3 linked regions of the Mus musculus genome follow. The protein of the gene in region 2 binds, or shares a complex with, the protein of the main gene of each other region. Links are inferred from orthologs where the notes say so. Each region holds a gene or a part of one and is shown on either strand. Other genes may lie near its edges.

Evidence for each region. The genes of interacting proteins can lie anywhere in the genome.
Region 1: Med13l (region 2) and Med8 share a complex: the UniProt entries of both Homo sapiens proteins name them as parts of the mediator complex. The link is inferred for Mus musculus from reciprocal best matches to the Homo sapiens genes MED13L and MED8.
Region 3: Med13l (region 2) and Med20 share a complex: the UniProt entries of both Homo sapiens proteins name them as parts of the mediator complex. The link is inferred for Mus musculus from reciprocal best matches to the Homo sapiens genes MED13L and MED20.

What each region holds. Positions count from the first base shown.
Region 1 is NC_000070.6:118,406,613-118,414,336, forward strand, and holds the start of Med8 (mediator of RNA polymerase II transcription subunit 8), read left to right. Parts: upstream 1-2,724; 5' UTR 2,725-2,768; coding exon 2,769-2,774; exon of another isoform or gene 2,775-2,937; intron 2,938-4,272; coding exon 4,273-4,391; intron 4,392-4,913; coding exon of another isoform or gene 4,914-4,961; intron 4,962-5,045; coding exon 5,046-5,190; intron 5,191-5,739; coding exon 5,740-5,880; intron 5,881-6,051; coding exon 6,052-6,133; intron 6,134-7,014; coding exon 7,015-7,263; intron 7,264-7,724. Other genes in the region: KICSTOR complex protein SZT2, read right to left, coding at 2,551-2,577. UniProt on the Homo sapiens protein: Component of the Mediator complex, a coactivator involved in the regulated transcription of nearly all RNA polymerase II-dependent genes.
Region 2 is NC_000071.6:118,557,304-118,565,131, forward strand, and holds the start of Med13l (mediator of RNA polymerase II transcription subunit 13-like), read left to right. Parts: upstream 1-3,415; 5' UTR 3,416-3,482; coding exon 3,483-3,554; intron 3,555-3,558; exon of another isoform or gene 3,559-4,508; intron 4,509-7,828. UniProt on the Homo sapiens protein: Component of the Mediator complex, a coactivator involved in the regulated transcription of nearly all RNA polymerase II-dependent genes.
Region 3 is NC_000083.6:47,608,963-47,616,584, forward strand, and holds the start of Med20 (mediator of RNA polymerase II transcription subunit 20), read left to right. Parts: upstream 1-2,622; 5' UTR 2,623-2,716; coding exon 2,717-2,730; intron 2,731-4,000; coding exon 4,001-4,155; intron 4,156-7,622. Other genes in the region: Bysl (bystin), read right to left, coding at 1,945-2,209; Gm20517 (predicted gene 20517), read left to right, coding at 2,717-2,730, 4,001-4,155. UniProt on the Homo sapiens protein: Component of the Mediator complex, a coactivator involved in the regulated transcription of nearly all RNA polymerase II-dependent genes.

The DNA of each region.
Region 1 (7,724 bases), on a different chromosome or scaffold from region 2:
CCAGATGGAGGACAGACATCGGCTACTTAAGTACTGAAAGTGCACTGGAGCATTGAGCTGCACAATGCACGGCTTCCACTTCTCTACCTTTTTTTTGCTTTCAAAGCTGTTTTGGATGACCGCTTTTTCCAAGGCCCAGTTGAAGTCTGGTTCACCTGTCAGTTCTTATGGAATCCATCTTGAACCCAGGAATGTTGGTCTAGCCTTCTCGGAAAATTCCCGTTTATCTGATTGCTTGATGGGACCATTTCCAAAACCTCCTAAGCTTTTTTACATTTCAGATGTACTTCACCAGAACCAGAAGGCTGGCTTAATATAATTTAAGCAGGTAGAATGTTTTGCAAAGTGGGATCTGAGCGCCAGCTGCATCAGAATCACCTGAGCCGTTTATTAAAATGCATTATTTGATTCCTGGGTACAATCAGAGACCAACTGAATTCAGAGCTGACAGAGCTCAAGAATCTCCATTTTAACTAGCTCCCCTGGGGATTTTTCCGTATGACTGATTGAGACATTTTTTAATTCAGTTGTGTTTCATAGCATTCACCTCCACATGGAGCTTCAATCCTGACTTCCCTTGAGTCTGATGTGCCTGCCTTTTGAAGCAGTCTGATAAACAAGACAAAGCCAGGCTCTTGGAGTCAAGAGACCTGGATTCTGATGTGTTCTAGTACATGCTAAGTATGTGATCTTGCAGGTTACCCAACTGTCATCTAGGCTTTATTGTAATAGCAAGATAAGGAGATCTTTGCAGGGATACTGACATTAAAGGGGGGAGGGGAGTACAATGGTGTCGGAAGGCTATCACTGATTACGATCGTCGCTGAGGCCCACATACACCGATGCCAAGCTGGATAGTGATGCCAGGCACTGTGTTGCCACTCCCACCCACCCACCAGAGTTTCTTCCTGCTTCTTTAAGACTAAAGACCAAATTATTCTCTTGAGCTTTTTCTAAACCATGTGCTTTCTTCCCACAAAATAACGTCGATACCTCTGCCTCCTAACTATCCGAAGCCTGCCAGCATGATAAACCTTAACCTCTGGCATAACTGCGAGCTGAGCCTTCTCTTTCCCAGTCTCAGCCCCATCACCCACCACTATGGTAAAAGCAGGCCCTTCAGTGTTAAAGGCACCTTGGGGCAAATACTGGCTCTGCATGTTTCTCCATTCCTGAACAGGGAAAGCAAGAATGACAATTTCCTGAGGATTCTACCTGTGTTAGATACTTAGAGAACTTAAACTTCCTGGATCCCACCCATTTGTGGAAGGAGGTTAAATGCCCCACTAAATGTGACACTTCACTTACGCCTCTGCAACACCTATTATAATCCAATGTTCATTTAGTCCCCACAGCTAAGGAGTCTCTGTTTTACCCTCTGCATCCACCCTAACCCTCAGCACAATTCTGGTTGCAGAACAGCACTTGCTTCTTCCTCTCTTTTGGGAGCCTAGCCTCTCTAAACATCACCCTTTCTTCTTGGTATTCTGTTTCTACCCTATTCACTCATAGGGTTTTCATGTGTGTAGTTTATCACATCCTCCCCATACACGGGTGTGTGTACTCATACATTATACATATATAAGATCACACCCGTGTCAGAGTGCACGTGTGCAGGTCAGAGGACAACTTGTAGCTGTAGAGCGAGCTCACCTACCTGGGAGTTCTAGCCCCAATACTAGCTGCACAACTATGCTTCTTTTAATAGTGGCACCTCAGTTTCCTGAAAAGAGGGATGATAATGGTGTTTGCCTTATAGGGTTGAAAGAACTGGTAACAGTAAAGAGCTCAGAATTGTGGCTGGCATACAGTAAGAATTCGACAAGTAGCCATTGCTATTTGTATCGTTACGCACATGCATCAACCTTCCCTCCTACAAGGCTATCCCTCTGGGGTCCTGGACACGCTAGCCAAATTTGGTACCTCCTCGGATCCGCTCGTTCAGTTGGAAGGAGTAGTCCTAAGGTATCTTTGCATGGCATGACACCTCACCTGCTCTGACTTCAGTTGTCTGCTCTGTACATGACAATAAATACTGCCAGATTCCCTGCTGGAGTCTGAATGTCAAAACATACATATAGGGTTCTTTGCATCTAGGGGGTGGGGGGTGGGGTGGGGGGGCGGGTGCCTCGTCTGCCTTTTCTGCCTTAACTTGTGATCCCCAAGCCACATCACAGAACAAATACTTTTATAAAGAAGGAAGCAGGGTCTGTCCTAAGTTAAGACTGGCCAGAGGGTTGTAGGGCTTTGCCAAGAGCACGAACGCTAGAGCGAAATCAACTCATGCTATTGATTGCATTCCAATAGATGAGATACAAAAAACCCCGCAAAGTCGGTCAGCTTCGGCGTGGCACAATGAAAATCCCAACTAATAACCAAAACACGAGTTTTTATCAGCATCACTATCGCTAACAAGTCTGTGGATGGGCGACGAAGATCAGGATGGCATCTGAGTAAACAAAACAGCAACGGCCTCCTTGAGGCTCCGGAGGGTGAAGGCTGCCACACGCCCGCCCTCGGGCCTCGGCCCCGCGCCCGCCCATCCCTCACCTCTGGCTCGGGGCGCTCCGAGGCCATCACACAGCCCTCCCGCGCCGGCCCGGGCCAGGGAGGTTGCTCCACTCCTGACCTCTGACCCGGCTAGTTCTGTACCGGGCAGGAACCGGAAGTTGTTGGGATGGTCCCGTTTTGAGTTTTCTGATTGGTGAGCGCAGCAAGCCGTGCGAGAAACCGGAAAGGGAAGTGGTTGCGCCCGCCGGGCCGCGGCAATGCAGGTGAGAAGCGGGTTGGGCCTTATAGCCGCTGGCGGGAGGGTGATTGGGCTGAGGACACCGGGGAGTTGGGGCTGTGAGCGGAGGGCAGAGGAAAGGCAGCGGAGCCAGAGAGAGCGAGGCCAGCTGCGGGAGGCGCGGGCATCGAGCCCGCTGATGTGAGAAGGTCGGAGGCCCGGGGAGGAAAGGCGGACTTGATTGAGCGTGGAAAAGGATCGTGGTGGCATTTGGGAAGGCTCGGGAAAGTAGTGGGCTGCCGCACGCCTCGATCTAGGCTGTTGGACACAGGCGTCATAAGGCTTCAGAAGGCTAAAGGGATCGTGGGCCTCCAAGGATGAAAACTAAGCTGTTTGTAATTCGAGGCTGTGGGTGGAACCCGGTGTCCAACCCCCTCAGTCACATAGTCAGGTTTGCAAATCAGCTTTGCATCATTCTTCCCGGCTTGTACCTCGTTGCTAAGGGCGGAGAAGTGGGGTAAATAGTCCTCAGATAGTCAAACGGAAACCCTCTGCCGCCTCAGCGTTTAAAATTGTCTAACACTCAGAAACAATGTGCAGGTTTCCTCGCCTTTGTCTTTCATTACTCTTTCATTACTCACTTGGCTTGTTGCATCTGATAAACCTACACTGTTTATGGGTCACCCGAATTATGAAAGAGACACGGGAATATTGGCACAAAGATGCACGTTGACTTTCCAAAGCACCAAATGCTATGGATAAACGGCCAGTTGGGGGACCGGGAAGGGGATTGCAGAGCTGGTATTCAGAGAAAACCTTACAGAGAGGCAACGTGTGAGATTGTCCAGATTGTGTGGTTGACAGTAGCTACACTCACAAGAGGATGACCAGAGGCACCCATGATATAATGAACTTCGGGAATTATTTAGGCTGTGTGTGCAGATAGCACCCCTGTTATCATGGCAAACCTTTCTGAGGTGAACTGAACTTCCTGAAAAAAACAAAACAAAACTGTGTCAATGCCAACACCACAGAGTGACACGAGGGATTCTCATCCACCCAAGGAAAGCAGCGCAGTGACAATAAGCAGTCGTGAGGTAGGCAGGCCACATCTATTTTCCAGAAGAGGAACTGACAAAGAAGAGTGTGCAGAAACCTGAGCACGTTCCTATTAACCCTACTGCAAATCTAAGAGAATGTTGTCTACTGGGAGAGGCAGTGTTTGAGAGCTGGGAGGAGGAGAGCATGGAATTAAAAAGGTGCAAGGCTAAGTGAGTTCGAAGCCAGTTTTGTTACAAAGACAAATCATGAGGTTTCAAGCCAAAGAGAATTAGGTCTGGTGCAATGACCTTCTTGAAGGACCACAGTGTAGGAGGGTTATAGAGGAATCAGTTAGTAGGAGGACTTCAGGCCAGGTGAACAGGTTGAAAGGTCTAAGGGTTGATGCTATCTGTAACCCAAATACCAAGATAGAAAACAATTTAGCTTTTCTGAATGTGTCACGCTCACTTGTATCTGAGTAACCAAACACACTGTTGATGCAGAGGGAGGAGAAGCAGCTTGAGGCATCATTAGATGCCCTGCTGAATCAAGTGGCCGATCTGAAGAATTCACTGGGGAGTTTCATTTACAAGTTGGAAAACGAGTATGACCGGCTGACCTGGTAAGGATTGCCAGGACAAGCTGGGGAGGGATCCATGGGTGGTGGGGCCAAGCCCCCTGGCTGACAGGACATCTCCAGCGATGTACCCATTTATCAACTTGCAAATATCCTTTTTGATTTGGAAAGAACTAGGTTGCCCAACATTGACAAGTTTAGTTTGGCTTAAAGCCTCCATGGCAAGGAAGTAGAAAAATGTCCAGTTTCCCAACCTAGGCTGTTTCTAGGTTTTAATTCTTACGCTTTGGCTTCCTTAGTGAGGAGGCATTTCCTCAGTGGAAGACCATTATAGCTCCATTTATGGTGGCTCTCCTTCCACACATGAGGCTGGATCTGAGATCCAGCCTTCTGGAATGATAGAGTCTGTTACTACATTAGGGAGGAGGCTTTACAGACTTACTACAGTGTAACCACAGCCCCTGTTTCCACTGCTCCCAAACCCAGTCAAACAGTGGGTTGCCTTTTTTCTGTATCTATGTCAAAAATTGAAAGTGTGTTCCTCTTTCCCAATTCCATCTCTACTAGCAAATCTGGTTCTTGCCTATGCCAGACACAGGGCTGCGAGTCTTCGGGGTGAGTCTGAGTGTTGCAGCATTAGGACTTTTAGAGGTTACTTTGTAGGGAGAAGTAACTCTGGTGACTTCTCGCCACCTCCAGGCCCTCTGTCCTGGACAGCTTTGCATTGCTTTCTGGACAGTTGAACACTCTGAACAAGGTCTTAAAGCATGAGAAGACGCCACTGTTCCGAAACCAGGTCATCATCCCTCTGGTGCTGTCCCCAGACCGAGACGAAGACCTCATGGTAAGACACACAGTATCTTGTTGACTGGATCCTCTGTGTGGCCATGAAAGGTGAGGGCTGCCGTCTGGAAGACTTGTTTTTATCCTTCTGGGGTCAGGAGAGTCCCCCTTAAAGAATGAAGTGAAAATCAGGGCCTATCTCACCAAGTCCACGACCTTCCTTTTCCAACATCTATGTCAGGCAAAAAGAAAAAAGTCTGTCCTGCTTGCCTGTGACTTTGCTGCAGTCTTTAAAATGTGGGGTTGAGAATTTAGCTCAGTGGTAGAACAGACACAAAGTCCTGGGTCCCCAGAATAGGGGTGGAGGTAGAGATTCACAAAAGACCAAAACAAAACAGCAAAAAAAGACAATTTCAGTGTGGTAGTGGAGGGTGGGATTTAGCTCACCCTAGTTCTGATGGAGTGAGTGAGTGAAAAGAGAGTGTCACAGAAAGCTATCCCTACCTCCGGTTGTGTTGTCTCTGGAAATGCGTTTTCTGATGGAAGGGAAGTGGGGTTAGAACTGGCCTACTTGGATAGCACAATAGGATGAATCCAATCTATATTACAGCGTCAAACTGAAGGACGAGTGCCTGTTTTCAGCCATGAGGTCGTTCCTGACCACTTGAGAACCAAGCCTGACCCTGAAGTTGAAGAGCAGGAGAAGCAGCTGACAACAGATGCTGCCAGAATTGGTGCTGATGCAGCTCAGGTTGGACTGAGTCACTGGCCTGCTACCTCATCCTCATCCTTCATAAGCAAGACTTTACCAAGGCTGTGTAGGGGTGTGGGGTTGCTCACAGCTAGGCTGCCTGTGGAAGAGCACAACGAAGATGCTTCCCTGAATCATTGCTAATCACTAATCAATTCATGTGTGTTACAGAAGCAGATCCAGAGCTTGAATAAAATGTGCTCAAACCTTTTAGAGAAAATCAGCAAAGAAGAACGAGAATCAGAGAGCGGAGGTAAGGAGGGATGTGGCAGCACAGAGCGAGAGCTGTGTAAGATCACAGCACAGAGGGAGAGCTGTGTAAGATCACTAAATAGCAATGGCCTGCCCAATTGTGAAGTAAGGACATAAGAATGAACTGCTGGGGCTGGAGAGATGGCTCAGTGGGCAGAGGTGCCTGTTGCCAGGTCTGGCCTAAGTTTGATCCCTGGGACGGACCTACATGGTGGAGGGGGAAAGCCAACAAGTTGTCCTCTGACCACCAACACAAAATTAGAAGTTACTTTAAAAAAGAAGAGTCGGCTCCCCTCCTGAGCAGAGGCAGCCACCCTCTCCTGTCTTTCCCAGTAAATCTCTAGTGTGGGGTTTGTTGTGCCCTGTGACTTCGTAGTGGTCCTTGGCTCCTGAGCAGGAGGACACCTTTCCTCTCAGGACCAGAACACATTGGTGCCATGACTTGTGTAGGCTCTCATGGTGCCTGTGCTTCCCCTTGGGGTCTGAGCCACGCTGGGGGACATGGGAGCAGGGTGGGGGAGAAGAATGAACCGGTGAGAAAGGGATTTGTCTCCTGTTAGTAGTTCATCTTTACGACTATCCTTAAAGCACATAGAAGAAATAGACAAAGTAAAAGTTTAAGGCCGGGCGTGGTGGCGCACGCCTTTAATCCCAGCACTTGGGAGGCAGAGGCAGGTGGATTTCTGAGTTCGAGGTCAGTCTGGTCTACAAAGTGAGTTCCAGGACAGCCAGGGCTAAAGTGTTTAAGATAGGTTTGGGGACTTTTAGCTCTTTGATGGGGCTAGGGGGATTCTAGATATTGCTGCAGTCATAATTATAATGGGTTTAGTCCAGAGCTGGACACATACCTGAGGGCTCTTGCTTTTTTTTTTTTTTTTACAGGTCTCCGGCCAAACAAGCAGACTTTCAACCCTGGAGACACCAATGCCTTAGTAGCAGCCGTTGCCTTTGGGAAGGGGCTATCTAATTGGCGACCTTCAGGTAGCAGTGGTCCTGGGCAACCCGGTCAGCCAGGAGCTGGTACAATCCTTGCAGGGGCCTCAGGATTACCGCAGGTTCAGATGCCAGGTGCTCCAAACCAGCAGCAGCCAATGCTCAGTGGAGTTCAGATGGCTCAGGCAGGTCAACCAGGTAAGGTGACATGGACTGAGTGCACAGGAGTGTGGGAATGAGCTAGATCATCTAAGCCTCCTTCATCTGCACCCTCCCCTTAGACCTGGAGATTTGCCTCCTTTGCTTTGTCACCTCGAAAACAGTTGAAAGCTCTGCAACATGTACCAGTGCGTGATGAAGGACCCTGAGTAGCAGCAGCTGGTGTGGCTGTTTACGTCCATCGCAGACTTTGCCTCACCTGTCCTGTTGATTCTGGGTGTCAGTGTGTTAGAGAAATGAGAGGCCAGCCCTTAGTCAAGACCGTTCGGTAGATAATCGCAGATTAACAAGCTGGCAGTTCTGCGGACCTTCATGGGTCCTTCCCCGCACCCTGGCCCTAGCTCCCTGCCCTCTCTCACGCTCGTTTTTATTTCCTGTGAGAGCAGTCTGGTGGGGTTCATGGAAGCAGTTCATGCGGGTAGGCTGTCTAGGGAGAAGTA
Region 2 (7,828 bases):
CTGTTTCCAATTTTATGTATGGATTGACTTCTGTTGTATATTACTGTTATTATGGAATGGATAGGTGATGTGCGCACTTTGTATTTTAAAAGAAGGAGAAAAAAAAAGTGAAAGCTGATCTCCCTCTCTATTCCATCCCTCAGTGCTGCAGCTCCCCTCCCTAGAGGCGTCTGATGTTACATGTAGTGTCATGGTAACCTTCTAGGGCTATCTCAGTTAATCCACACGTTGGGTCGGTCTCATTGAGAACACATAGCACCGACTCATTATTTTTAATGGCTGCATGGAATTAAATTATTTTGTTAGCTATTCCCAGATGGCTGCACACATAGTTGATTCCAGTTTCTGCCCTACAGACAACACGGCAGCTCATACTAGTTACATTCCAAGCCTTTATACACCTGTATTTGTGTCTGAATTGCTCTAAAGAGGATTACCGGGCCAAAGAGTGTACCCATTGTAAATGTAATTGTTATTTTTTAAAAATTCTTTTAAATTTATGTGTGTGTTTTGCTCCCATATTCTCTCTCTCTCTCTCTCCCTCCCTCCCTATCTCAACATGCATGTATGCATGTGTGTGGTGTTTGTGGAAGGCAGAAGAGGTTGGGTCGCCTGGAACTGGAGTTTCAGAAGGTTATAGGTGCTGGGAACTGAACCAGGGTCCTCTGCAAGAGGAGCAAGTGCTCTCAACCACAGAGCATCTCTGCAGCCCCAGTGGAGAGTTCTTGCCTGGGCATCCAAAGCTCTGATGCTGCTTTATACTCATGTCCTTACGACCCAAGGGCTCTGCTTCCTTCTGCATGTGTAAAAGCTGACATTGGCAGTGTGATCTTAACTTCTGATTTCCTTCCAGTATACCTGAGTCTGTTTGAATTGCTTGTGTTAACTGAGTTTTGGTAGACTAAATGACATAAAGTACAGAAACTTATTTGTATAATTTTGGAAGCTGGGAAGACTAAGGCTGAGGTATTGACCCATTTTGGTCCAGTTACAGCCTCCTTCCTGGTAATGACCTCATATGGCAAAGGGGGATAGGGGTGGGGGGACTCAAGTTTTCCTATGTCTCTTCAGAGGGCACTTATTTCAAGACAAGGAATTCATCCACGTGCTAACTACCATGTCGAAAACCTGTCCCTTGTAGTGTTTCAACATGAATGGTAAGTGGGACACAAATATCTGGTCCTAGCAATATATAAAGTTGAGCATTTTTTAAAAAATAATTTTATTTATTTTATTAGAAATGCTAGCATTCCTAATCTGTAAACTGTTTTTCTTGTTTTTTAAAAGATTTATTATTATATATATATAAATAAGCACACGATAGCTGTCTTCAGACACACCAGAAGAGAGAAAGTCAGATCTCATTACGAGTGGTTGTGAGCCACCAAGTGGTTGCTGGGATTTGAACTCAGGACCTTGGGAAGAGCAGTCAGTGCTCTTAACTGCTGAGCCAAATCTCCAGCCCTGTAAACTGTTTCTTATTTGTTTGGTTTTGCTTCTGTGCAGCATCCCACCCCCCTTTTCCTTCCCCTTATGACTTGCTTAGACTGTGACCAGCTCATAGCCTTTTGCCTACGCGTGTGATGAGTATGCGTGGATTCTGGGTGTGATGGACCATCTGACTGCTCAGGTCTCAGTAATACCACATGTGTGCATAAAGTGTCGGGCAACTCCCCCTTGTAACCCTTCCCCCAATAGCATCTTAACGGAAATGTGTGACCTTGGCTTGAGGTCAGCAGGTCAGCAATTAGGATTTGCTTTGGACAGATTAGAAAATGAGGCATAGTTAAACTTTGCTGGGCAGGGTCACAGCTAGGTGTAGCAGAGCCAGCTCCTGGCATCCTCTCCAGAGCCTCCTGAATTCAGATAGTTCAGGAGTTGAGCCACTCAGTAACTGGGACCTTGGGGATGCTATTGCACCCCGATTCTGAGGACTCTGTGAAATGACCTATGTGTTCGGGCCACCTTCATTCCAGGGTTTAAGGTTTGTGGTAGTCTCAAAACTCCATTCATATGTCAGATTTGTGCCCGCTTTATTTTGCTTCCACCGCTCTTTCCAGCGTTTTACTCTTCCTTTGTTTCTTGGAGACAGTGTGTAGACCAGGCTGGCCTGGAACTCATAGAGATACGCCTGCCTAATTCTACCTCTTTCCAAGTCAACTTTCTCCCTTTCTCTATTTCCACGACGAAAAGTCCTGGAAGGCAGTCTCCGGCATCAGCACTTCTCCCAGTCCCATTACTCTCTGAAGAAGGGATGCTGGTTATTATTGACCGCTTGGAGCTGGAGGAAGGGCCTGCTCCCCTCCACATAGCCCAGTGTGAATGTGGCACCTAAGAGCGCTGGGATCATCTATGTAAGGAATGCCTGCGTGCACGCACAGAGTGGGCGCCAAGGGCTCCAGCAGCCGGGATGCTTTAGGAGCTCAGCGCTCGGGAGGCAGTGAGTCCCGAGCCCTGGCTTCCCGATGCCTGGGTTCGAATCCCGCGACCCCGGGCAAGCACCTCGCTCGCTGCCTTTGTGTCTCTTTGAGTCCTACTCCTCCGCCCGGTGCGCTGCGGCAGGCAGGCCGGCGGGCGGTCGCGCGCGAGGTTTCGAGGAGGAGACACTCCTCGGCTCGCTCGGCCAGGCCGGGCCGGCCCACGCCGCTCCTCGGGGACCCGAGATGCTCCCCCAGGGGGGCTCGGAGGCCGCTCCGGGGAAGCCGCGGCCCTCTTCGGCCCGCGCCCGACGCGCGCCCGCGCCCAGGGCGGGGCGTCCACGCAGCCCCGGCGTCCCACGGCCGCCCGCACCTCTTTCTCTTCCCTCCCTGGCTCCGTCACCCCGCTCCGAGAGGGCCGCGCTCGCTCGGCTCAGCAGCGCCTCCCGCGAGCCACCACCGCCGCCGCCGCCGCCGCCGCCGCGGCCCCTCCCCCGCCCCCCGCGCGGCCGGCGCCCGTCACGTGACGCGCCGCAGCCAATGGCGGGCCGAGCCGCGGTCGGCGGCCGCCATTGCTGTCAGAGCGAGCGAGCCCGGGGAGGGAGGAGAAGCGCGGCCGACTGGGGAGGAGGGGGGGGGTGGGGAGGAAGAGGAAGGAGGGGACGGCGCTCGGCTGCCGGGGTCGCCCGCTGGCTTCGTCCGCACCCCCCCCTTCGCGGGCTCGCGCAGCGGCGGCGGCGGCGGCGGCGGCTCGGGGCGGCTGCGGGGCTCGCGTGCCTCCCGCGCCGGCGCGGCCGAGGGCGAGTCGCCCGCCGGCTTGGAGATAAACAAGGCGGCCGACGAGGCGGCGAGGCGGAGGCGGAGGCGGCGGCCCTGCGCGACAGAGGCGGGCGGCGTTGCCGGCCCGCGCCCCCCGCCGCCGCCGTCGTCGCCGTCGTCGCCACCGCCGCCCTCGGGCCTCCCGCGCGGGCCTCGCGCCCCTGGTGCCCGGGAGCCGCCGCCGCCGCCGCCCGGCCCGGCCCGCTCCGACATGCCCCGCTCTGGCGGCCGGGCTCGCGGAGGACCATGACCGCCGCGGCGAACTGGGTAGCGAACGGGGCGAGCCTGGAGGATTGTCACTCCAACCTCTTCTCGCTGGTGAGTGGCGGGGCGGGGGGGAGCCCGGGTTGGGGGGCGCGACCTCCCCGCCGCGCAACTTTCTCCTCCCGGAGCCCTGGCGGCGTCGGCGAGCGCGGCGCCCGGCGTGGACGTGCGTGGGGAAGTCGGGGCGCTGCGGACGCCGGGGCGCGCTCGGAGCGCCCACCTCCGTGGCAATCACACCCCCTCCCCTCCCCTTCCCCCCTTATTTTCTTTTTTTTTCTTTTTTCTCCTCCTTCCCCGAAATGTGGAAGGCTTTTCTGCCTTGTGCAGCCGCCGGCGCGGGTGAGCTGCAGGCTCGTCCTCTCTCTCTCTCTCTCTCCCGATCGGATCGGCTGCTCTCCCACTCGCCGGCGTCTGCCTTCTGATTTTTTCTTTCTCTCTTCCTCTGTTTCTCCGTTTTTTTCCCTTTTTTTTCCTTTTAATATTTCCACAATGACACCTGCGATTTCGCCCGAAAACAGTTGATGGAAGGCGATGGTGTCAGGGAAAAGGACTCTGGCAGCCGGAGCTCGCTCGCGCCGTTGTAAACACGGACAGCCGCCCGCCTCTCGGGGTTTACTACGCCGGAGAGCGGGAGAGCCATTGCTCGGAGCCCACGGAAGGTGGAGGAAGCTGCTGCTCCTCGCTCTCCTCCGCTGCCTTTAAAAACTGTTTTCTCTGCTTTAACAAGGAACACACACACACACACACACACACACACACGAGCAACAAGCTGGGCGGTTTGATAACATCGCTTTTATCTGCCTTCGCCTCTCCTCTCTCCCGCTCTCGCCTCTGATAATTGACAACTTTTGCTTTGGAAGTGCATCGCCTGCCTTAATCTCGAACCATTTAGGGTGTCAATTGTTCTTCTGGAAGCCTGGCACCGGGCGACGGCGGCTCGATTCGTCGAAATTAAAAATGTATAGAGCTCCAGCAACTCTTTCCTGGCGGTGGCAGTGACATTTGGTGGTAAATGCCATCTTTGCTTTTTATTGGGTCGTATTACCTAGCTCTGAAAACATTCGCGTTGTTAAACCCGGCGCTTACGCTGATAATGGGAGTGCATGGTCTTTAAATACGCGCTTTGTGCCTGAGTTACTGTGTGTGTGTAGCTATGTGCCCGGGAGAGTACGAATTTGTTTAAATATTGAGCAAAGATTTGTAAACAGATGTAAGGCAATTATGTTTCAAGCGTAGAATATAATTGGAAAATTGGTTGAACGGCCTATTTAATTTAGCCTTAAAAACTCAACTTATTTTAGTTGTGTGCCCAATTTTGGTGGGGAGGGTGCTGGGGGGGAGGGTGCTGACTTTTGGAGAGCATGCATTTATTGCAAATTATTTTCTGGAACCCCTGCTGCAGATAGAAGCTTTATTTCCTTTTAGTCCTTGTTTACACTGGATAAATAATTTAGTGTTCAAATTGTAATTAGTTACATTTAATTATGGGTGGCATAGATGCTTTTTCTCCCCTTGGAGACTAGTGGAGAAAGAGGAATTGTTGCCAACTTTGGAAGTGTCATTCTGTTTTCATGCTGATGAAGAAATCAAGCATGATTTTGGCCTACAAAGACACAGGAGTGACACAGTCCCCCTGCTCCCACTCTTGTAAGCAGGCTGATTCCTGATCACCCCGAATTTTATCCTGAGGCTGTTTCGAGGTTCAGTTAGAAGTTGGGGGTCCTTCCTTTTACCCCTGTGGTAATTTACCGTTGATCTTTTGATGTGAGGATAAAACTACTTCTGTCTCTTTTTTCACCCCCCCCTTCCCTTGTCTGTCATTTATTATTAGGTTCAGGGACCTTCATAGATCAGCAAATGTATTGACTAGGCGGTATTTACCCCCCCCCCCAACCAATTTGGTGACTGGGTGACCGCAATGACACTTTTATAGGTAATTAAAATAACCAAGTCAGCTGGTGTTAGCTGGGGAGAGCTCCCACTTGCTGTGCATCAGGCTGAGAGCAGTGCTGCCTGTGTGCATGTGGCTAATGTATACACAGTGTGTTGTGCAGGCAAATGCATGCCTGCTGACTGCACAGCTCCACTCTCAGCTTCAGGGATCTATGGGGTAGAGATGAGATGGTCCGGATTCTTTCTTTAATTTCTGGACTTTGATTTTGACTGCATTCTGGGTATTTCTCCGCTTAAACCAAAAAGTTGACTTGAATATAAAGTACAATTAACTTTTTTGGGTAACTCCATTGAAATGCAGAAATGGCTTAGATTAGTTTTAAAATGTAACGTATTTCCTGATACCTCGAGGTAGGTAAATGCTGTCTAGTTGTTTAAGAAATTTATCTTTATTTTATATGCATCGCTGTTTTGCCTGCTTGTGTGAGGGTGCTGGGTTCTTTGGGATTGGAATTAGAGACCATTGTGAGCTGCCACGAAGGTGCTGGGAATTGAACCCAGATTCTCTGGAGGATCAGTCAGTACTCTTAACCCCTGAGCCATCTCTCCAGCCCTAAACTTTCTTAGAAAACCAAGCCAAATAAAAGAGACCCACGGAAAACCAAAACCAAGAATAAACTGCCAACAGTCCTTTATTCGGATTCTTAATTGAGAATTTTTTTCTGAAGAGCATACACACAGCAGCAACCTATCTTACTTATTGAGAATACATTGCGTAAAGAACATTGTATAGAATAGTTGATTTCAAAGGAGAGGCATCCTTTCAAAATCTTTTTTTTTTTTTTTTTTGTCAGAACTCTAGGTACCTAGCATTTTGTATTTTTGAAAAGTTTGGCCTGCAGTTTTGTTTCTGAGTGCAGAATAGTCACTTCTGGAACACTACCCACCCACATGCTCCTGTTAGCTTGGATGGAGGTGTAAGCTGGAGCCGAGCCCCGAGGGAACGCGACCCACTACTTCCTGAGATCCTGAGGCCATCGCCAGGGCTTAGCAAGGCTGACTGAGCAATCAGGCCTCTTACGATTCTTGTTCCTAGGCTTTGACTGAGTTTGTTTTCTGATACTGCCTGGAGTCCTGTTTCCTACTCTTGCTTTTCTGTCTCCACCCCCACCCTAACCTGTGAAAGGCCATTGGATGGCTGTGATATGGGCCCTTGTGCTGTTTCTCTCTTCCTCCTGTGAGATTTGTAGCCACTGCAGGAAATCCATGCCTGGCTGGGCCTCTGTGACACAAAACTTTTCTCATGGTGGCCATCAAATTAAGTGTGCTAAATCTTCATTTTTGGAAAATGTAACCGTGTACCTTGTGGCACTGAACTCACCCTTAAGGGAAGACACATCCTAGTTTCCAGATGCCCAGTGTATCTTTGTGTGTTTCTTCTGAGATAATGTGGAGAAAGTGACTTGGTGCCCTTTAGGCTAGACTTAAGTATGCTGGGTACCGGGACAGGAGGGGACACTTCTAAGTTTTAGATTTTTGCTCCACATTCATGTCTGTTTTGCTTAAAGTCTCCCTGGCTGTAGGTAGCTGAGCAATGCTGTAAATCCTCACTGAGTTAAAACCCATGTACACCCTTTAGTACTTAAGGTCCTACTGAGGACCATTTATTTTGTATCTGAAGCTTTTAGGGTAATTTGTTGCAGACAGAATTTCCTTTTGTCTTATGGGAGAAAAGGAAGGTGGTTGTAACTGTTGAAAACTTGAGCTGATGTGAGTAGAAGCTGGTGGGGAGGCATGTGGAGTGGAAACCGGGAAGAAGGCGTGCCAAGGTTGCAGAGTGCCCAAATACTGCACAAGGTCTTTTTCTTCCCAGTTTGCAGTTTTAGTATTTAAAAGAAGTGTACATTTAAAGCGTCTTTTTCATGATGGTTCATTTTCTTTAATGAAAATATTTATAATATGCCAATGTGTTTCCTGTTTAGCATTTGTTGTTAGTAGCACATGGCCTTATAGTATTTATATTTTTTTAATGGCAATAATTGCTACCCGGTAATGGTTGCCATATTAACCTCCAATTGCTAGTAAATATTTTTAAGTACATAATAGACAGCAATTTAAGGCATAGTGTAGCAGTTTACTGGACCGTTTTAAAGAGCCATTTGTACATGTGATGAGTTCATAATTTAAGGAGAAATAATGTACCTGAGATCCATATGTGCCAGAGGCCTTGCCCTGCTCACTGGGAAGCAGGCTGGACCCATTCATTGCTTTCTCTTTGTGTTCAGGACAGGAAGTGTTTGTTGAGTGTGAGCAGGTACTCTGGTGGTTTTGTCTTGGATGCGTTAGATGATTTATATTGAAAAAAAGTCTCTCAAGGTATTTCTTTAAATACTGTTAGCTCATAGTTGTGGCTTATGCTAATTAGTATGGAAAAT
Region 3 (7,622 bases), on a different chromosome or scaffold from region 2:
AGGCCCAAGAGATCTGTCTTCTACACTGTAGCTCAGAAACTACAAGCTGCTGTGAGTGGAAGTCAGGGCTCATGCTCTCTCAAAGCATGGACCTCACCAGCTGTGAGCATTATCTTATCCTGTCCCTAGCTTGTGGTCAGACCTGAAACAGAGACAGACCAGACAGGACGCCATCAATCTCTAGCTGCTGAATGGACCACAGAGGTCACAGAATTCAAAGCACGATGTTTCCACAGTGATCCAGGGGAGAGACCCTGGTAGCTTAATCAGGGAGTGTCTCAGGTGAATGGAAAGTGGTCTGGCTCTGAAATACTCTAAAGACAACATCACCAGGATTTACTTTGAAGTGAGAAAGAGGAAGCCTGGACTCTGACTGGAGCAGTGGAGCTAATGTGCTAACAACCTCCAAGTAGCAAACAGAGAGCAAGTTTGGGAAGGAAGTCACAACTTCTGTTTTAGATGCAATCTTCTTCTTTTATTTTTTTTTTTCCTTCTCCGAGACAGGGCTTCTCTAGGTAGCCTTGGCTGTCCTGGAACTCACTTTGTAGACCAGGCTGTCCTTGAACTCAGAAATCCACCTGCCTCTGCCTTGTAAGTGCTGGGATTAAAGGCGTGCGCCACCACTGCCCTGCTTGGACGCAATCTTACTAGAGTTAGATACTAGTATTCAACTTGGAGATGTCAGGTAGACCACTGGATATAAAGATGTGAGCTTTCTTGGACGAACTCTGAGGGAGAAAAAACTGGAAGTAGCTGTCAAACAAATGGCCTCAAAGTGAAATTCCCTGACGACACCACAGAAGGACCGTCAAACCTTGTCTTGGTCACCCAGCAAGTTCAAGTCCAGCCTGAACAACTTAACGAGACTCAGTCTCAGAGTTAAAAAAAAAAAGTTATTTTAAGGGCAGGTGTGGTGTCACCCACCTATCATGCCACCACATGGAAAACAGAGGCAAGATCAGGAGTTCAAGGTCAGCCTCCCCTACAGCATTAGATGCCATCCCAGGCTCCATGAGCCCTTACTTTAAAAAAAACTAAAAGAAACAGAAAAAGCTGCTGTAGGCCCAAAACCATGTTCAAATGTGTCAATATTGCTTTTTAGGAGAAATAAGAATGGAAGATTAAGCAACTGGGAGGTGAACAACAATTCCTCCCCAGTGAGACAGGTGGCAGTACCCACCCCTCTTCCCCCTTTTAGCCCGTAAACAATACTGTTTCCCCTCCCCTGTCGCTGGGACAGGGACAGTCCCCACTTGCTTTTCAGGTCTTATTCGAAGGACATGAAATCTGGGATACCCACCATGTAGAATTAATGTTCATCTGCTTTTTTGTTTAAATAGAAATATCATCACTTTTTTCCTCTCTCTTGAGAGACAGGGCTCGTTAATCTGAAATTTACTATATAGCCAAGAAGGTCTTCTGCCTTGCTTCTCGAGTGCTGGGATTACAGGTGAGCCTCGCCACTCCTGCTTGGAATATGTAACTCTATTTAATGGGTGCCTTGAGCTAGACTTCCGGTGTTATCAGGAGGAACGAATATCTTATTTCTGTATCAAAACTGCCTAAAAACTTAACACAGCTCAAAACATTATGCAGGCAGTCCACAAATACTTCAAACGCCCAGAGGATAAATAAATAAATGCTAGACCACCAGGTGGTGGTGGTACCCGCCTTTACTTGGGAGGCAGAGGCAGGCAGCTTTATGAGTTCGAGGCCAGCCTGGTCTACAAAGTGAGTTCCAGGACAGCCAGGGCTATACAGAGAAACCCTGTCTCGAAAAAAACCTAAAATAAAATAATGCTAGAACTGGTGTGAGAGATCACTTTTCGTTGGCTTAACTCTGAATTCTGGAATTCAGGAGTGGAAGTGGAGGAACACGCCGGTAAAGTATTCTGATGGGGTGTCAGACCGGCCCAACTCACGACTCCACCCCTTGTCACTCACCCAGCCGCGTGGCGCGCTCTCGCGGTGGTGCTGACCGATCACCAGCCCCATGGTCAGTTTCGAGCTCCTCCTGCTGTTGTCTGGCTTGCTGCAAAATCCGTCTGCTTAGCCGGGGTCCCACATACTCTTCCTCCTCTTCGACCTCACGCCCCCGCCGTTTTTCTCGGGTCCCCGCGCGCACTGCGTTCCCAGCCAGGATCTGCTCGGCCAGAGGTGCATGCTTCTCCCGATTGCTGGCCCCACGTGTCACCTTGAATTTGGGCATTTTGGCCGAAAAAATTGCCCACCAGGTTCACACGTGTGAAGCCGGCTAAAAAGCCGATACTGCGCTTGCGCTGTGTGTTCCGATCGCCAAGAGGCCACTGAGAGATCACAGTGCCCCCCAGCGTTAGGAGGCCGGAAGTTCCTCATCTATTACTCTCAGGAAGAGCTTCGGGACCTATAGCAGGAGCCCCCAAATTCTCAGGTAATCTCATTAGAAAGGTGGATGTCCAAGTCACCCTTTTCCAGAATTCATGAAAGTAGCCTAGGGCGTCCTGTCAACCCGTTGGACGCCTTGGGGGCGGAGCCGAGTCGATGACGTTCTAGAAATGTCACCACTGGGTACCAGAGATGGCGCTCCCTGTGGGCGTGTCGCCGCGGCGCTCAGTATTTGCGCATTTCCGGCGGTCGATCAACGACTGCTTCCTGTGTTTAGGGGGCCGCCGTTCGCGTGAAGGTCTGGAGTCTCTGAGTTCGAGGGTTTGGAGGCGCCACCTTTTGATCCTTCGCTATGGGAGTGACGTGGTAGGACTTGAAGGGCTTCTGTGGTGACGGAGCATATAGGGTCGTGAAGGTGTCTGTGGGCCTGTGATGGCCCGGGGAAAGGGATTTTGACCGAGGTTCTCGGTTCCTCGGGGGGCTGACCAAGATGTCTTCCGGTTGTGTGGATGGGGGACACTGCGTGGGACTTCTCTCTTCCCAGACACACCCCTTTGGCAAAGGGAGCAGCGCATCCCTAGGACCCGCCAGGAGTTGTACCTTTTTCTTGGTACCTCTTCCTGTCCTTGAGGCCTTGTAGTGTCGCTACTAGCACCCAAAGGTTAGAAATAGGGTTTCTAGATTAGGAGTTGTTCGCAGAAAGGGATAAGAGTGGCGCGAGGAGAAAGTGACTTTTCTATTTTGCTTGCAGTTACAGACTTTGAATTGGCCATTTTAAGGTGTTGGGGCTAGTGACAGAGGTAGGAGGAAAGGAGCGGTTGGGAGTTTGGAGTTCGGAGTACCAGGCAGAGACAATTTTTCGAGCTGGGTGTCTCACTGTGTAGGCTTGGGAGGCCCGGAACTCACTCTGTAGAACAGGCTGGACTCGAATTCACAGAGATCCACCTGCCTCTCTCTGCCTCTCAAGCGCACGGATGAAACGGACGCGAGCCACCATCGCCTGGGCTTCAGACAGTTTTGATTGACTTTTATCTTAAACATGTTTGAAGTCTCACTTGATAAAAAGGCAGTTGGTAAGGTTTGGGCACCGTGCTTTTCTGGGTATTAATTTTAAAGTACTCGGCCTCAGCACTTAAAAGTCTTGGTAGTGGTGTGCTTCTTTCCAGTTAAAGAAGCTTGGAGGCCAGGGGCCACAGGTCTGCCCTGTGAAAGGAAGGCTCTTGCCACAGTTGACACTAGGAGCCTCATCTCATACTTCTACCCTACTGTAAAGAATGCCTGTGAGCAATGAAGACAGATCACAGCAGAGTCATTTAGAGTTCAGTTTCCCTGTTTGCAGTAAGTTGATACAGGACAGGGCCTTTCCTGGGGCCTTTGGAAGAGTCAGGCAATCCATCTGAGGGCTGATGCCTTTGATTCCAACATTTGGGAGGCAGAGTCAGGCAAGTTTCTGTGAATTCCAGGCCAGCCTGGTCTACCAAGTGAGTTCCAGGAACTCTTGGGGACTGATGGGTGGGGATCAGAGATGTCTAAGTAACTCCTAGCCCTGCTGATCCGTTACCTGTTGGGGAATTGAGTGGCTTAGCCAGAAGCTCTGTGTCTCTGGACCCTGCTGACTTGGCGTTGTGTTTCTCAGTGTGTCCCAGATGCCTGTGGCTGAGGGCAAGAGTCTCCAGCAGACAGTGGAGCTCCTCACCAAGAAACTGGAGATGCTTGGAGCAGAGAAACAAGGGACATTTTGTGTGGACTGTGAGACTTACCACACAGCTGCCTCTACCCTGGGCAGCCAAGGTCAGTAGATGGCTGAGAGCAGATGGGAGGAGCATGGCTTAGAGTATTTACGTTAATGGATCTGCTTGCTTTTCTGTCAAGGGTAGCGGTCCTGACTGAGGCAGGATGTGTTTGTGGCCTCATTCGTTCTTGGTCCATCTTATATTATGGTGGTCAGTTTGCAGTTTGATCTATTTGTTTAAAGATTTGTTTTTATTTTCAAATGTGTGTGTGTACAAGCACTTGTGCCCCTGTGTGTGGCTATATGCACACAAGTGTGGGTGCTTATGGAGGCTAGAGGTATCAGATCCTCTGGAGCTAGAGTCACAGGTAGTTATGAGCTTTCTGCTGATATGGGTACTGGGAACTAAACTTGGGTTCAAGGCCAGCCTAGGCTAGAGACTGAGAACCTTTCTTAGGAAACAAGAATTGTACACAATAACGGGAAGCACTTACTTCATTAAAGAATAGTGTTGGGGCTGAAGCAGCTCAGCAGTTGAGAACACTGGCTGGTTTTCTAGAAGCCAGGGTTTCATTCCCAGAGCCCATATGGCAGCTCACAGTTTTTGACTCTAGTCCTAGGGAATCCAGTGCCCAGTGCCCATAGTCTCTGGATACACTGTAGCTATACAGATGGTTGTGAGTCTTCATGTGGTTGTTGGGAATTGAATTTAGGACCTCTGCTCCGGTCGGCCGTGCTTGCTCAGGTCCAAAGATTTATTTATTAAGTACACTGTTACTGTCTTCAGACACACCAGAAGAGGGCATCAAATCTCATTATGCGTGATTGTGAGCCACCTTGTGGTTGCTGGGATTTGAACTCAGTACCTTCAGAAGAGCAGTCAGTGCTCTTGCTCGCTGAGCCATCTTGGCAGCTCACTCACATAGTCTTTGGCTGCCTTTGCAAAGTTTCAAGGCAGTACAACTTGATGTGGTATGATCCAGGTATGTAATTACAGTGTATAACCTGAGACAGAATAAGGTCAGCTTTGAGTGGCTCTGAGAGCTGGCATATTTTAAACTGGATTTTCAAAGCGATGAAAGATGTGAATTGGCAGTGTAGACAGAAGGGATGGGAGTTGGAGGTTCAGTGTAGAGCCTGCCTAATTCAGCAGGGGGCAGCAGAGAGGCCAGGGCAGTACAGGGAAGGCCCTGAATTGCTCCCCAATCCTGCAGTCTTTCTCCTCTTCCCATCACTACACTTTTTTTTTAAAAAAGGATTTATTTATATTTTATTTTGTTTGTTTTTAGACAGGGTCTCACTATGTAGCTCTAGCTGTCCTGGAACTCACTCTGTAGATGGGAGTGGCCTCAGATTCACAGAGATCCATCTCCTAGTGCTGGAACTAAATGCACATCATTACACCTGACTTTATTTTATTTCTGGGGCTGGGTGCTGTGGAGGGAAGTCAGAAAGGAGCTGGAGTTACAGGCCCTTGTGGACAACCCAGTGTGGATGGTGAACTCTGTTCTGTCAGAAGTGAGTGGTCAGAACCATTGAGCCATCTCACCAGCCTCTTGTTAGACTTTTATTTCTTTTTTTTGTTCTTGTGTTTTTGAGACAGAGTTTCTATGTGTATCCCTGGCTATCCTGCAACTCTCTCTTTGTAGACTAGGCTGGGATCACAGAGATCAGACTGCCTCTGCCTCCTGACTCCTGAGCGCTGGGATTAAAGGTGTGCACCCACCACTGCCTGGCTTTTGTTATGCCCTTAACCCCGCTAGAGTTTGTGGTTTTTCGAGACAGGGTTTCTCTGTATAGCCCTGGCTGTCCTGGAATTCACTCTGTAGATCAGGCTGGCCTCGAACTCAGAAATTCACCTGCCTCTGCCTCCCAAGTGCTGGGATTAAAGGCGTGCGCCACCACGCCCGGCATAGGATGGAACTCACTTTGTAGATCAGGCTGGCCTCGAACTCAGAAATCTGCCTGTCTCTGCCTCCCAAGTGCTGGGATTAAAGGCGTGCGCCACCACGCCCTGTGCTAGAGTTCATGTTATGAATACCATCTTTTCTCCTACCCTGTTGTTCAGAAATACTTCTCCATCCTCTTTCAAGTCGTGTTTTTCCTTTCATTTTATGCTGAAGTCTTAGATTTCTGGTTTTTCAGGTAATCACTCTTTAAAGTTTTATTTTGTATTAGTTAGATTTTTATGAGATAAGGTTCTGGGTAGCTCAGGCTAGCTTTGAACTTGCCTTGTAGCTGAAGATGACCTTGAGTTTCTGATGCTCCTGCTCCACTCCACCTCTGTAGTGCTAAGATAGCAGTACCATATTCAGTTTACCTGATGCTGGGGGTAGAACCCAGGTCCTTATGCGTGCTAGGCAGAGACTGTCATTACCAGACTCTATTTTGTGTGTGTTTGTGTGTTATGCATGTGCATGGCTGTTTTTGCCACAACATGGGTATGAAGTTTATAGACTCCAGCTCTCTGGAGTCTCAGCTCTCTTTTCCCCATGGGCCTCCCAGAGATCAGATTCAGGCTTAGCAGCAGGCACCTTTACCTGCTAAACTTGCCCATATTAGCTGTGCATGGGTGGTTTGTGGTTTGTTTTGATCGAGGGTGGAAGAGCCTGTGCATGCCCACACCGGTGAAGGCTAGCAAAGGACACTGGATGCTTTCCATCGCTTGTTTCTTCTATGGCTCTCTGCTTGATTGCCTTGAGACAGTGCCTCTCACTGAGCTGGAAACGTGCTATTTTGGATATCTGACTGCCAGTGAACTCTTAGGGTCCACCTGCCTCTGCTCCCCAATGCTGGAATCACAAACGTGTGTGTGTGTGTGTGTGTGTGTGTGTGTGTGTGTGTGGCCTTCCAGACTTTACCTGGGTTGTGGGGATTAGGATTTAGGTCCTTGCTGAGTTATCGTCTCAGGCCCCGCTTCCATTTTTAAAAGTAGACTTGTATATTTATTTTCCTATACTTTTATTCCATGTGAGTATGTGCATATATACCCTATATACATATGGGTATACATATGTACCCTAACAAGGGAGTAGATGTCAGAGGACAACTTGCACAAGTTGAGGCTTTTTTTTCCCCATCAAATGGGTCCCAGAGATGGAACTTGGGTTGTCAGGCTTGGTGGCAAGAGCTTTAACCTACTGAGTTATTGCCAGTCCTGTTTTTGATTGTTGTCAGACAGGGTCTTGTGTAGCCCAGGCTGGCTTCAGACTTGAGGCAGTCATACTGCATGAGCCTCCTGAGATCGCCTGCGCTTCCATGTGACACTTATTATTTGGAGACTTGGTGTCCTCGGGAAGTTCGCATCCATCGTCAAACTCAGCGCCCAGTGCTGGAATCACAGGCTTGAGCCCTCCTGTCTTCTGTTTCGGACGCCTGGCCTTCTTGTAAAAACAGTTTTTGGGTGCTTGCCACTGAGTCTGACAACTAGAGCTTTATCCCCAGATCCCATATAGTGGAAGGAGAAAACAGACTTTCCCAAGTATCTACCTCTGAGTCATATATGTGTCCCTGACCTAAAACACAA